Drosophila melanogaster: one gene and its partner. The protein of the gene in region 1 interacts with the protein of each later gene in a pairwise test. Each region holds a gene or a part of one and is shown on either strand. Other genes may lie near its edges.

Region 1 (3,930 bases):
CGATTTCCGCTTGGACTTCGTCGTGTCGGTGTGGGATTTGGGTTGCTGGAACGCTCAGTTGTGCAGCAGCCGCTTCCCTCGCATTCTTAGGCTGGAAGATTTAATAAGTTGTAAGCTTGCTGATTATATATAAGTGGTATATAATCGATTACCAGTGTACTAAGGAGAAAGTCCCGAAACACGAGCTGAGTATGTTTTGCTATATTTGAAAGCGACGCCGTGGCCTCTACTTGGCGGTAACAAGATTTGCAGAGCACTTTTGGCAGAGGATCTTCTTCAGCTACCTAAAAAGAAATACGTTTTTTAAATGTCGAGTCTTAGCAAGTACGCGGAGGTCTTGTTTTGATACTTATTCAGATCTAGGATTAAATTTGATGCAGCGCCAAACAGGCTGTTCCTTTTTATTTACTTACATTTAGATAAAGGTGTCGAGATATTTTATCCTTCAGTCCCTGTGTTTTAAAAATAAACACACTTTCAACCACGGAATTCGTCTTGCTTTTCGTGTTGGCAGCGCAAATGCGGCACAAGTGCTCAAACTGAGCATCCATGTTACGAATTTGAATGCGCCTTTTATTTCCTATCTCAAAGCGTCAAGCCCAACATGCTGATGACAAAATGCAGAAAAATTTTTTAAAAATCCCAGGGGTTCGGTGTAATAGGCTTACTCTTGTTAACACCAAATTTAGACACACACACTACCATTTGCAATGCAGTTCGCCTTGCCCACTACTTCGTTTTCATGAATTTTTTACACTTGCAATTTGAGAAAGTCGTCGCGCGGTTACTGAGAGCGTGCAAAACAAAAGGCAAAATGAAAAACAAATAATAACAAACTGTAAATGTATTGATCATTGAAAGCGGAGAGCGCAAGTCCGAGAGAGTGAGAAACAGAAGCAGATCTTTGCTTTCCTCGTTTTACGCTGTTCACAATTGCTATGCTATGTTTTTGTGGAAAATAGTATTTTTCCATTTATTCTTTTCTCGAAAGCTTTGCAGAAGTCTTTTAGTCTCGACGAACGTTTTGGAATTACGAACATGAGCACAATAAAAGATTTATTCACTTAAAATAGACTTCTGCCACAACGATTTCACCAGCACTTGCGTTGCGACGAAAAAACGAAATAAAACTGAGCGAAATAAATGTTGCTGCCGTTTGCCATTACACTCACCACTCACACATACTAATGCATTTCCGTACACACACAGTTTCGCGCTGATGGCTTACAGTACTCTTTCTTTGCTCTCGCCTCTCCTACGTTGTTTGCACCGCCGGTGATGGTGTGCGTGCTCCCTGACTGTTGCTTGTATTAAACACTTACACGACTTTTGTTTCTATTTTTCGAGCGCTGGTGTATATGTGTGCGGGCTTGGTGTCCGTCTGTTTCATGGCGCACAGCCAGTTTTCCGCTCTATCCATGTGGCCTCAATGGCGTAAATGTAGTCGGCTGGTTTTTCTTTCCACCAGTTTTTTCTTGCGACCGGGTATTTAAGGTGTATCTAAATACCGTTGAAGGCGATTGCATATTCAAAAGCTATTACTTCCCTTATTAAAATACATACGTGCATACATATTATGTATTAATTTGCCGCTCGTAAAGTAAAAGACGACTCGCTCACTTATCAACTGTTGGTGCCTTTATTTACGTTGATTCCTCGCATGAAGCGCTCTCCTTGAACTAAAACTAGTTGTCATTCATTTTGATAGTGTTGGTTGTTCTCTGTTTGCGTGCCTTAGAGCTTATGCTTCTGATCTTTCTTTTGCCATTTTAGCTATTTTCCTGAGATTTTGTGATTCACTATGTCTATGTATTCGTGCATTTACGCCAAAATGTGGGCATAAGAAAAAATTTAAAATCAAGCTTTCGTATTAGCAATAAGTGCGATGTGGACGTACTGGACTTGGAAAACACAGTCTCTTCATTTTGACGTAAAACAAATAAGTAGGCAAACTTTTTGAATTTTCTTCAAGCCTAAAGTGTGCAGAATTTGGATTTTTAGGCGAGTTCCTAGTCATGTTTATATATGCATTTATATATGTGTGTACATATTTACACATATCTTAAATAACAACAGTCAGAAATATGGGTGATGATTTGTTATTTTAAATCTATACATAAGAATCAATATCTTGGGGTAACTTTTACTCTAAAATCAACATTAATAAATACGTTAATATGGCTGTGCAATGCTTTTAGCACATTTATACAAATTGCTTTCCTATAGACATACATATGTACGAATATGAATATTCCTTGGGCTTAAATGCATCCGTTCGCCAAAAGGTATGCAAAAGGTTTGGAAAATACTCCGAACTATCGCATTTATTTCATGAAGCAGCCACACGACTATTTACATTAACATAAATATGTACATACAATTGTACATTTAAGTCATTTAAGTGTATAGGAATATACCCTTGCAGAGAGTATATTGATTCCAGTAAAAACCTTGATGCGCAGTGTGGGAGACATTAAAGTATATACATACATATATTCTTGATCAGTATCAAACTCAGTGTTCATCGCCGTCCGTCGTCAGTCCCTCAGTTTAAAGCTGCATACAGATCTGCACGAAAGTTTTTCAAAAGTCTTAGGTAGTTTATAAGTCGGGACGGGCCAGATTATATCATTTCTTCTTATCCTTAGATGAAAAAAATCAAGGATATGTGCGCCCTGGTACCCAATTCTTACCTAAACACCTTTCCGTTGTGTGAAAGCTTGCTTAACGTACATTTTTAATGTATTTTTTATTATCGTTGGCAGATAGACATCAATGCAAAATGGTGTGCAACGAATGTGTACAAATTGCCCGAATTACATCTCATCAGGTATTTTAAAATTTACGAGCGCATTTGATCGGCAACATTTTTTTCTTGTTATTTACCAATTTATGTATTTTACATATTATTTTAAGTTTGGATACACGTAGTTAAATTATTGTACTGCTACCTTCAGGCATCTTAAACAATTATATATTTGAGGAGGGAAATTAATAATACTATTGTATTGATTCAACGTTAACGAATTTTTACATATTTACAAGGGTAAATATTTGTCATGTTCCTATATTAACAATCAAGATAGTTGTTACAACAGCGTTCTAAATAATAGGTCCTGTCGGTGGGGCCTTTTTAGTCTTATATTTATGTATATAATATGTATTTTTTTTATACATATAGAAAATGTAGTTTGGGCGAAAATGAAGCATACTTTTAGGCTGACAGATTCAGTGCATTTTTTTTTCTTATAATTAAATTTATTTTTTAAGGCATACGGGGAAATCTTGGAGCCCCTTTGTGTCCTTCTTTTCTATTATTTCTGCCCATTTGGGCGCGCCGGCTAACTATAGTTAGCTTTTTCTAGTTTATACAGTTATAATACAGTACATAACAAACACATATAATAAATAGGTTTTTTGATAAGCGTCAGCTTCTGCTGACCCTTGTCAAAGGAGATCGGGAAATGAGATCCCTCGGTTGCCTTCTGTTGAGCCTCCTTGGTGGGCGAGATCTGTTAAGAGCGCTGGCCAGCCGATTTCTGTGGCGCTCCAGCCTGTCATGGTACCTGCTCGAGTGCTGGTTTATCTCGTCAAATACCGTTGCGAGTTTCAGGTCTCTGTGCAGGGTGGTGTTTCGCACAAACCACTCGCAGCCGGTGATGAGTCTTGCTACCTTATTTTGAATAGCCTGGATCCTTTTTATTTGGCTGTCGCATGCCAAGACCCAGATTTGGCACCCATACTTCCAGTTTGGTGCTAATATCTGTTTGTAAATTGTCAGCTTGTTGGATAGCGACAATTTACTGCGCGAACAAAGTAGCCAGTAGTGCCTCGCCACCTTAGCACGTAGTGCATTTTGAACAGTAGTAATCAAACAAATCCGAAATTTGAGTATGTTAGGACTTACTCCATACAAAATAGCTTGAGTCA
Region 2 (3,930 bases), on another chromosome or scaffold:
GTGACTCAATCAACGAACGGTGGATTTATAATATCGGAAATAGCCAAAAGATGATAGATAGCCCATTTAGAAGACCACAACCATGTCCTGTTTCTTGAGCAACCACTTAAACGGTTCATCAATAACGTGACTGCACTGCCCTCAACTGGCCAATAAATAATGCAGACTTGTTTCGAAAAACCAATAGCAAACTAGTTCATATCCTGCCCCCAATTCGAGCGAAGGTTTCTAGGTGCAGACCAAAAAAAAAGGCACCATAACTCACTCGAAAAAAAAACCAATTAATTAAAAACCAGAAATTATGAAACGAAGAGCAAGAAAGCTGAAACGAAAACGCCGACCGCCTTTGAAATGTCCTTGCAGCAATAGCAATAGCGATAGCGATAGCAATCCTTAGACGACCCAAATACTGGCCATTCAGTATGGGCCACGGAAATGCAAATTCTCCAAGTCCCGGGCTCTGGTGCTCCACTTTGGTGCTCAGCGTGGGAGTTGTCCCTATTGATTTAATTCTAGCCATCCAGTGACGCAATTCCGTGGAGTTGAACGCTCGGCGGACAAATAATCCAGAGGCGAAAACCCCAAGGGGTTGTTTTCCTTTATTTTTCTTGTTTTTTTTTTTTTGTGTTTTTATTTCGACGGTTCTTGGCAGCCGAATATATGGGAATTTCTGGCAGTCAAAGGCGCCACAATGACTGCGCATAGTTTTATGTACGCTAACGGTTTTGAGTGAGTTTTCCACGTTGTCATTGGGCTGGTTTCGTTCATCTGTTTGTTGCCCCATTGCAGCTGGGTGTCATGACCTAGACAATTTTCGGTCTGCATAGATTTCTATCTGCCAGAAGGTCAATGCGGCGTATACTTAACGTGCAATGAGATAAGTCCTCATTAGCATATAATGAGTAATAAGGGTTTGTGTGGTGAGAAAGAAAGATAGAAATTTCACTACCACTCACATCTAATAATATCCAAATGAGACGACTTTGACAATGACTCAACTTCAAATGGCTGGAAAGTACGCAAAATGAAACCAAAAAAAAAACTGACCTGAAGCGCCTGAATTTGACCAGCTGGCTAATATTAGTCAACAGCTTGGCAAGTAAACAAAGCAGAGTTAGTCCCCAAATAAAACAAAATCCGCACTCTGGCTTGTTAGTTTCCCTCGTTTTCGGACACGAAACGGAAAGGGGAAAATGAAGTTGCAAGGTTGCACAATATGGGGATGATGATGTGCCAGAACATTCGTGGCAGACATTGAATCACTTATAGCTAATACCGAAATCAAAATCAAACATTGTCATCAGCAAGATATTCGCAAGCAAATATCGTTCATCTACTATGCCAACTGAGTCAACAGCATGAGGTAATGCTCCCAACTCCGGACTATTCAGGCCGGGAGCCGTCTTTGTCCATATCTCGGTACATGGTACATGGAAAAACGCTTGTGTTAACAAGTACTCTGTGCACTTGAGGCTGTCCTCTGCTCCATAGCACAATTGGCATTCATTGTCCCGCCGTTTTGACCCACTGATCGTGTTACGGGGCATTTAATCAGCATTAGCTGAAAATGAGCAGCACTTGGCCACTTCACTTGCCTGTGGGAACACCCAAGTGCTTCCTAGTCAGGCCGACGCACAAACATGGCCAATTGTGTCGGCCAATTGAGTCTTGCAGCGAAAGAAAGTGGCGAAAAGATATCGCATGAAGAGCAAACCACTCAACCACAAGTGGGTGTCTTAAGCATCGACTTGTTGTTGCGAATTGAATTCCTCAATTAATTTCGATGGCATTTCTAGGAAATCACTTGAGGGGGCGAGCACACATTTTGTCACCAGATTGCTAATTTTTATAGATCGTTAGGCTCAAAATATTAATAGCTGGTGATGAAAGAAATTTTTGATCAATGAATTTCCACACAGGAAAAGGGAACTTGAAAATAGTTCAAAACTGGCAAAATATTTGCCAGTAAAAACTATAACAAAATCATGTATTCTTTTAAAACTAAATAACAATTGATGTTTTTCTTTAAATATATATGATGCTATTAAGTTTTTTCATCATTAAAGCAAATATTGTATTTCAGACTTGCTAACTTACATTCATATTTACATTTTTTCGAAACTTTTATCACTTTTAAAAGAACCGCCAGAGTTTTGAAATCTGATAGAATTGGTGGCAATACTGGCCAGTGACTATGCAGCCCTGTACCAACGCCACTTAGTATTATTCGGTATTGCCACACCCGACGTACACGGTCACACTGAAGATGCAACAATAAATCCACGAGACAAATTTGTTAAAAACATTTTGTTAATATAGGCAGTTATTTGCGATTTTAAGCCGCGATGAACAGCAGCAATGACTTGTCGGACGAGCTAATACGCCGCCTCAGCGTTGGCGGTGCCCTGGGTAAGTGGAATGATGCCATTTCCCAATTGGGACGCACCTGTTGTTACACCGAATTATTAATTGTAAACAATTTGCAGAAGAAGTGATTGCCAGCGAAATGTTCGAGGATAGCATCGATGTGGAGACGGAGGCGGAGCCGGACGACATCATCATCGTGCACATGGACATCCGGGAGCCGCTCAGCATGCTCAAGTGAGTCTGGCGAAGACTGGCCCCCATTAGTCATGCAAATAACCCTCATTTCTACCCACAGATCACTTGTTGAGCAAAAGATAGGAGTGTGCCTGAATTACTACACGTTTTGGCTGCAGGACGCGCAGGAGGTGAGTCTATCTGCGGCGTAATAAAATGTTTACCTAAGCCCCCACTCTCCTGCAGCTGGAATCGCACAAGAATCTCGTGGACCAATGCGTCAAGGGAGAAGGCCTGGTCCAGATCAACGTGCAGATACAAACTATTCGCAAGCGCATTAACATCGCCGACGTCCTGAAGCCCACGGAGGCCGCACTGGCTGCCTTGGCCGAGGAGGTGGTGGGCCAGCTCTCGCCGCCGGAAACGGCCAGCCAGAAGAGTTCCTCCAGCGAAAGCCCCATCAAAACCCCACTCAAGCGCATGCACAAGGAAGACTCCGAAGAGGAATCCGTCGAGGGCAAGGATGTCAAGCCAGTCTTGAATTGGGTCCTGGACAGCAAGTTTAAGCGAGAACAAATACGCCTGAAGATACCCGAGGCGGCCAACGAATGGACACACGCACACGTGACGTACTGGCTGGAGTGGGCCGTCAAGCAGTTCGAACTAGTTGGCATCAACATGAGCGACTGGCAAATGAATGGCCAGGAACTCTGCGCAATGACGCACGAGGAATTCAATCAGAAGCTGCCCCGTGATCCAGGCAACATCTTCTGGACCCACCTCCAGCTGCTAAAAGAATGTAATTTCGTGTCCGTAGTGCACAAACGAGCGGAGGAGCAGCGTAAGCCCAAGCAACCAAGAATCATGTCGGCCAATTCCATATCGACCAATTCAGGGGGCAGCCTTTCGCTTGAACAGCGGATTATGCGGAAATCCTATCAGTCAGTCAAGAGCTCTGATTGTAAGTAGACGTGTGAATGTTACACCAAAGCATGAGCTAACAATATCTACTTCGTTCACAGCCGTTGAAAGTACTACGTCATCCATGAATCCATCAAACTACACTACCATCGGTTCCGGGAATAATGGACAAGTGCAGCTATGGCAGTTCCTACTCGAAATACTCACCGACTGCGAGCACACGGACGTTATTGAGTGGGTGGGCACCGAGGGAGAATTTAAGCTCACTGACCCGGATCGAGTGGCACGCCTTTGGGGCGAGAAGAAAAACAAACCCGCTATGAACTACGAAAAGCTATCAAGGGCTCTCCGCTACTATTACGATGGGGATATGATCTCCAAGGTGTCCGGCAAGCGATTCGCATACAAATTTGACTGCGATTTGAAGCTATTGATCGGCTATGATGCGAATGAGCTATCCACGCTGGT

What was found.
Region 2: the proteins of dbr (region 1) and Ets97D interact in a two-hybrid assay, tested with the Drosophila melanogaster proteins (one large-scale study listed by BioGRID).

The regions. Positions count from the first base shown.
Region 1 is NT_033779.5:64,246-68,175, reverse strand, and holds the start of dbr (debra), read right to left. Parts: upstream 1,695-3,930; 5' UTR 1,564-1,694; intron 1,501-1,563; 5' UTR 1,173-1,500; intron 1,134-1,172; exon of another isoform or gene 788-1,133; 5' UTR 669-787; intron 608-668; 5' UTR 552-607; coding exon 414-551; intron 285-413; coding exon 153-284; intron 92-152; coding exon 1-91.
Region 2 is NT_033777.3:26,911,176-26,915,105, reverse strand, and holds the start of Ets97D (Ets at 97D), read left to right. Parts: upstream 1-2,219; 5' UTR 2,220-2,345; coding exon 2,346-2,409; intron 2,410-2,486; coding exon 2,487-2,601; intron 2,602-2,662; coding exon 2,663-2,732; intron 2,733-2,787; coding exon 2,788-3,502; intron 3,503-3,563; coding exon 3,564-3,930.